Rhinolophus ferrumequinum: one gene and its partner. Each later gene encodes a partner of the first gene's protein in a complex. Links are inferred from orthologs where the notes say so. Each region holds a gene or a part of one and is shown on either strand. Other genes may lie near its edges.

Region 1 (3,756 bases):
CGCCTCTGTGTCATCCATGGATGACAGTGCACTCATGGAACTTGTTGTCTTGTGTTGGTTACGTAGGCCAAAATTTAAATGTTTTAGTTTCAGGAAGGAAAGTAATAAGTAATTGATGCTGGTAATACAAAAATTGAGAACAAGCCCTTTCTGTACTTTCTGGTAGGTACATTTCTAGAGCAGGAGTGCTGTTATATATACAGCCAGATGATTACTAGTCTGGCTCTGTATGTTAGCTCTCATGCCCATAAGGACACTTATGGACATAGGCTATAACATAAACCAGAAACTCCCCAGAAAAAGCACCAGAGAGAAATCCAAACTACAATTTTTGCTCAGCCACTACTCTTGTTATTAGTCGTGCTATTTCATTATTTTGCTGTTTATAACATAGGGAAGAGTAGTCATATGTTCCTCTGCATTTGGAGGCTAATTGGGAAATGAGAGAGCTCCTTGGAAGACGGGCTCGTCCCACCAAATTACTACACCAAAACCTTATATATAGTACATATACTGGGGATGCCAAAAAATGTACACATTTTAGGAGATGTTACCTATGTATTACTTTTCAAAGTTGAATTAAGTACAGTAGCAATGTATAGCATGACATTCGCTCAAAAGATGGCATTGATCAAATGAATGCTAGCGTCATTCATTGTATTACAATTTGAAAACAGTTTTTTCCTTTCTTAAAATGTGTCTATATTTTTTTGGCACCCTCTGTATATATCACAAACAGAAGGATTATCACCCAGTGGTACTCAGGTTTAGGATACAACAGAATTTTATGGGGCGGGGGTGAAAGTTAAAAATTCAATTTCTGGGCTTCTTTCTTATAAAATTCCAATCCATTTCACTATTGGACTGGCCCAGGAATCTGAATTTTATTGAACAGCCAAGGTGATTTCAATATGTGTAGTTCCTGGAACATGATTATCATAAACACTAATAAGCTGACACGATATGAAAAGAGGTAAAAATTAGAAAACCTACATTAATTTTTCATGAGATTATAAAAAAAAAATAATGCTCTCATTGTAAGAATCTGTAGGTTTATTTATAAGCATATGGACCTATTACACATTGTATAATTTATTGAATGTAATTCTTACTCAGTTATAATATTTTTAAATGTAAAATAGTTGACATGATAAATTTCCCACGAGGTAAATAAAATTAAAGTCTCAATCACCTAAGCATAGCATTCACCAATTCTTGTCATTTTTAGCATATCAAATATATTCTAATCTAAATTTCCAAACTGCATAATCTAATAAAAGTCACTTGCTGTGAAAGTCCCATGAAAACTTAAAGAGATATAAAAATGCCAAGTCTTTTTAAATTTTTTTTGGCATTGTTTTGAATAGAACCAGGCGCAGTCTCTGGCCATTTTTTTTTACCACATAGTTCCCGTTAGCACACTTTCCTCTGCCAACAGATACAAGCAATAGTGAATAGCTGTCAGTCTACCCAACTGTTTTTCCAAGAATAGTTCTCGGACAACAGGCAACAGAATCACTTAGTATTTGTTATAAAATACAGATTCCTAGACCCTCCCTTACACATATTCACCCAGAATCTGGTTCAAGACGGGTGCATGATGATCATGGATATCTGTAAGTAAATAATGTTCAGTTTTAGAGTTTGAGATGCTCTGCATAAAGATGTTAAATCCTCTCATGAAGTACAACTGAGAGGGAAAAAATTAGGTAGCTTGAATTTCCACTGTATTTTCTGAAACTGTTAACATCTTTCAATAGTGTCAAAGGAAAGCCTCCGATGCAGGACCAAGGCTGGGGTAAGCTGAATGAGGCACTTGCCTTGGGTGTAAAAATTCAGGGGTGATTACATGATAGAAAATAAATAATAAAAGCAGGATACAATGCTGTGTCAAGCCACACTGAAACTGAAGTAAAATAATACTTAAATAAATTAAAATTCCATAGTATTTACATTTTCATTTTTTTGTTCACCATGGATATTTTGGGATTGATTTTATTTTTTAATAGTACACTAAAATATTGTTCATCTTGATAACTGAGTTTTTCAGGGCCCCACCCCCTTAATTTTTGGACCAAAGACAAATATCTCACCCTAGTTCTGGCTCTACTTCTCGGCGCTGTGCTGAATGAAGTTGCCCCAGTTATTTTAAAGTATATGGACATCCAAACATGATAAGTTTTTTCCCTCCATTACATCTCCTGGGTAAATATGTTTCTGCTTACAGGTAGTACCAATCATGTACACCAAAATAATCAGGTCTGTTATGTTTTCCTAAAATAAACTTACATTTTCCGAGATTAAGTGCCCTAATATATTTGATTTGGTTAATATATTTTTTAAAATTAACTAGCTAATGTACTAAAAATGAAACGAGGTAGGGAGGAGGATGCGTAAAGAAAAAAATCATACTGAACTGGAATGCCTGTGTCCAGGTTTGGGAATAAAGTGAAAAATACTGTGTTGATTAAATAATAGTTTTCCTCAAAGACTAATACTTTATTTTTTGGTTATTATTTTGTTCTATTTTATTGTTATTATTATATTTTTTTATGAAAGAGTTTCTCTAAAGAAAATACTTTTGAAGTCCCATGACCAAAAAGAAACCCAAGCCAAGTATTTGATTGCTTACTAAGTACTTGTTGTGACATGTTATTCATAGAAGCAGATTTTGTCATACTGGTTCTTTCACTATTGCAGAGTTTCACTATTGTCTTCATTAGACTAAAACAGCTTGTTTAAAACCTACACATTGCAGGGCTCTTTTGAAAATTGTTCAAACCTGGCATAGATTTGAGAAATAAAAAATAATAAGAAATCTGAAATATAAACTTAATGTTAGCCTTTTGGTCACAGTTAAAGGAGCCAGGGTTTGGTTAATTGTGGAAGTGGAAAAGTGGACCGATGACAGCAAAACATGTTGGTGATAATTTCTTAAAAGGCTTCAAAAGAAAAAGAGCAAATGTAGATGAACACAATTACCACTGGAGATGTTCACCAATATGTTAATAGAGAGTATCTCTGGAAACATGACTCAGGTGCTTTTAATGTCCCGTAACGTGCATTGTTTAATTCTTTTTCTATGAGATTGTTTTGCCTGTATACAAAATATCCTCATAGTTGTCACTTTCAAAAATGCATTCACATCCTAATGTTAGTGGGGAAGTTTTGGGGTTGGGACCTAAAGGGTATTTTTATTTTATTTTTATTTTTTGTATTTTTTGTATTATAAGGATTATGAGGCCCTGAATTGCATCAGTTTTATATAGTAGAATTTTCAAACACATTGCACATTGAAATTGATACTTTATTAAAGTGGTTATATTATTGTCCTATACAATGGTGGAGAATAGAGCAGGAAGACTATTTGAGGTCATTTTAACTTCACAGTTCTTTATTTGAAACGCTTTTTCAAAAAATGAAAGAGTACTACAGTAAACTTTCAAGACTTTTGCTGGTTCCATTAAGTTGCTGCATGAATGGGGTTCTCCAACCCAATTCCAACATGGAGGACGAGTTCCCCCGACACCAACAAACAATTATTGAACATAAATAGGGTATCAAAGAATTCAATGCAATTTTGACATTATTTACCTGGAAGCAGAATCAGATTCCCCAGGTTAAGAGCCCTCGCTCACCTTCAACACACACACACACACACACACACACACACACACACACACACTTCAGAGGCCAGCTTAAGCCCAGGCCCTATGCTTATGTTTAACTGGCTACACATTGGAGGGTCCAACCATC
Region 2 (3,756 bases), on another chromosome or scaffold:
GTCTCCTCTCTTCCTTTATACTCGCCAGGCATTTCCCCCAGTAAAACTCATACCTCTAATCCCATCTGGGGGTCTGCTTCTAGAAGGACTCAAACTATACACCTGCAGTTGCTGCCATTCACAGCACCTTCACACAGGATCCCGGGGAAGAGACCTTGATTTCCTGCAGTCCTCACGCTAGTGCCACACTCCAACACAGAAACTGTATCCCTGAAAACAATGACTTCTTAGACTTGCCCAGTGGAATAAAGCCCCTGGAAGCCAACAAGCCAAAGATGTTTCATAGAAACCATGGGTCGTTTTGAGATTTCTGCTTCCAGGTGCGAGACAAGACCCACCAAGGATAAGTACCAATGATATGAGAGAAAATGGCATGGAAGGCCACATCAATAAGGTACGATGTGTAAGAGGCCTTACCTTTGTCAGGCCTGAAAATATGACCCTGACTCATGCTAGAAATATCTGTCCCATTCATACAACACTAAACATGGAGCTGTACATTAATAACCAAGCTCTGAAAAGTGATGACACTATTCAACAGGGAGAAGACAGTTAGTTAGGTTAAGTACAAACAGCCAAAGCAAAAATCCTATTCCAAAGAAGTATGAGTAACCTTTTGTATGCACTAGAGAGAGTCCCACAACAGTACGAGACTCTGAGTCAGTTCTGAAGTGTGCGGTGTGACCTACTAGGTGTGCGAACAAATGCTCTGTTATTTGAGTCCCATAATGGCCCAATCCCAGCATCAGATGAGACTTTCAGTTGAAGGAATAGATGCGATTCTGAGGTCCATACAAGGGATTGTGTCAGAATTCAGCCACGCTGTATCACTTGCCCTAAATCATTTCTGTTCCACTGTTAATACTTAGGGAACGCGATACTAAATGATTCTATGAACCTACCCTTTTCTCCTAGTGACTGAAAAATCAGCATATTTTTTAATCAGCACTGTGATAAAACATTGTTATAAAATAGGACAAATCTATAAAATAGGAGAAATCTTTTAAATTAGAGTTTTCCTGAAATACTCAAAAGAGCAAAATAACCAAATGCTTTTTGCTTTGTGAGGTTTTTGGTTTTGGGTCCCCCCCCACCCCTTATTCTTGGTTTATGATGTTCGGCTCTTAAGGACAAAGAAGCCAAACCCACTTAATCTAATTTACCAACACACTGAAAGTAAATCGTAATCATACTTGTATTTTAACCAGGCATGACAACAAGGTGATTGAGTAGCTGCCCAAACTACCAGAGCAGCGGGCACTAACTTGCATAGACTGGCGTTAGATCAGCACTTCATAAATCGTGCAGGCTCCTGTCCATTTAGTGGATCTCTCTATGCAGACTCGGCAGGCTAACACTGGCTCTCGCAGCATTAAAAACCATCACTCTGCTAACTCAACTCACTGTTCAGACGGCCTTCTTGAATGCAGCCTTTATTACAACCTCACGGCTGCTCCCTTACTGAAGGAATACCATGTTTTTAAGTCAGGAGTTCTTCTTTCTCGCTTTATTGTAACTGGGGGTCTTACAACGACCCGCTACTGTTACAAAGCACAGTGCTTTATAACAGTAAAGCTTCTGGAAAACCCAAACAAAAGACACGTCACCCGGTGACGTCAGCCTATATACAGTTCTGTGTGGTCGCAGCACATAAGCAAATCCATTCTTGTGCCGTTTCTCGGAAAAGCTTTTCAGTAAATGCACTCATGCTGCTCCAGGAGCTCTTCTCTGCAACAAGCCGCCCATCTGCCATCAACAAGTTAAGACCGAGACAACTAACAGCTGCGGAAGGCAGAGACTGACGCTTTGATTAACCAGCTGAGCAGGGCGAAATTAATAACTTATATTCCGAACTGATTGAAGGGATCAGCGTGGTCACAGAAAATGTAACCAATGCTGTTGAGAGGAATATCCTAAGGAAAAAACAACTCACCCTGGTGGATTCAATTTTACTCAGAAAGCCTGGGACACAGAAAACAGGAAACTGGTGAAAGGCTCCAGCATGGAGCCTTTTACAGACTCACTGCGCTGAGTCTAACAACCACGACTGAATGCAGCCTCCAATGTGCTCAGAAGAATGGGTAAGTCCATGCATTTCTGTGTCTTGTACAGTCAGCAAGAAACCGTGCTTTTTAAAATAAGCCACTGAGTTCACCTTTTATGAGGGAAGTCACTGTCATTTTTTGGATTTTGAGCTTTAGGTAAAAGCATATATTGCTGATGACAGGACATGTTTTATCTTCTTTCTTAATGGTTTAAGTTTCGTTCCAGTCAGACTAACAAGGTTAGTTTTTCTGCAGCAAATGAAAAATAAGTGATATGCAGTGAAATCTTTCGCCATAATGTTTTTGTTTTTTAATGGCTCATACGTTTTGATGAAAAATATCCTATCTTCTTGTTTTCCTTAAATTATATTCTGCAGGCTTACATTTCAAGTGGCCATTCGGGGCCCCTATGCTGGCAGCAATATATGCAATGAGTATGGTTTTAAAAATGCTGCCTGCCCTGGGAATGGCGTGTCCACCCAAATGCCGCTGTGAGAAGCTGCTCTTCTACTGCGACTCTCAGGGCTTCCACTCGGTGCCAAACGCCACAGACAAGGGCTCCCTGGGCCTGTCCCTGAGGCACAATCACATCACAGAGCTCGAAAGGGATCAATTTGCCAGCTTCAGTCAACTTACCTGGCTCCACTTAGACCATAATCAAATTTCAACAATAAAAGAAGATGCTTTTCAAGGACTATATAAACTTAAGGAATTAATCTTAAGTTCCAACAAAATATTTTACTTGCCAAACACAACTTTTACCCAACTGATTAACCTGCAAAATTTGGACCTGTCTTTTAATCAGCTGTCATCTCTGCACCCAGAGCTCTTCTATGGCCTTCGGAAGCTGCAGACCTTGCATTTACGGTCCAACTCCCTGCGGACTATCCCAGTACGCCTATTCTGGGACTGTCGTAGTCTGGAGTTTCTGGATTTGAGCACAAACCGTTTGCGAAGTTTGGCTCGCAATGGATTTGCGGGATTAATCAAACTGAGAGAGCTTCACCTAGAGCACAACCAGCTGACGAAGATTAATTTTGCTCATTTCCTACGGCTAAGCAGTCTGCACACGCTCTTCTTACAATGGAACAAAATCAGCAACTTGACTTGTGGAATGGAGTGGACCTGGGGCACTTTAGAAAAGCTAGACCTGACTGGAAATGAAATCAAAGCCATTGACCTGACAGTGTTTGAAACGATGCCCAATCTTAAAATACTCCTCATGGATAACAACAAGTTAAACAGCCTCGATTCCAAGATCTTAAACTCCCTGAGATCCCTCACAACCGTTGGCCTCTCTGGCAATCTGTGGGAATGCAGCCCTCGAATATGTGCTTTGGCCTCCTGGCTGGGCAGTTTCCAAGGTCGGTGGGAACATTCCATCCTGTGCCACAGTCCTGACCACACCCAAGGAGAGGACATACTAGATGCAGTCCATGGATTTCAGCTCTGCTGGAATTTATCAACCACTGTCACAGCCATGGCTACAACTTATAGAGATCCAACCACTGAATATACAAAAAGAATAAGCTCCTCAAGTTACCATGTGGGAGACAAAGAAATCCCAACTACTGCAGGCATAGCAGTTACTACTGAAGAACACTTTCCCGAACCAGACAATGCCATCTTCACTCAGCGGGTAATTACGGGAACAATGGCTTTGTTGTTTTCTTTCTTTTTTATTATTTTTATAGTATTCATCTCCAGGAAG

What was found. Proteins that work in one complex are often made in the same cells at the same time.
Region 2: the proteins of NRXN1 (region 1) and LRRTM2 are in contact, whole or in part, in a crystal structure (PDB 5Z8Y), measured with the Homo sapiens proteins. The link is inferred for Rhinolophus ferrumequinum from reciprocal best matches to the Homo sapiens genes NRXN1 and LRRTM2. Residues at the interface, in NP_001317021.1 of Homo sapiens: Leu139, Val158, Thr160, Arg236, Gln237, Leu238, Thr239, Ile240, Asn242; in NP_056379.1 of Homo sapiens: Asp343, His344, Gln346, Gly347, Glu348, Leu351, Asp352, Ala353, Gly356, Phe357.

What each region holds. Positions count from the first base shown.
Region 1 is NC_046296.1:35,475,994-35,479,749, forward strand, and holds the start of NRXN1 (neurexin-1), read left to right. Parts: upstream 1-1,484; 5' UTR 1,485-1,616; intron 1,617-3,756.
Region 2 is NC_046307.1:13,815,688-13,819,443, reverse strand, and holds the start of LRRTM2 (leucine-rich repeat transmembrane neuronal protein 2), read left to right. Parts: upstream 1-1,437; 5' UTR 1,438-2,051; coding exon of another isoform or gene 2,052-2,077; coding exon 2,078-2,081; intron 2,082-2,422; coding exon 2,423-3,756. UniProt on the Homo sapiens protein: Involved in the development and maintenance of excitatory synapses in the vertebrate nervous system. Regulates surface expression of AMPA receptors and instructs the development of functional glutamate release sites.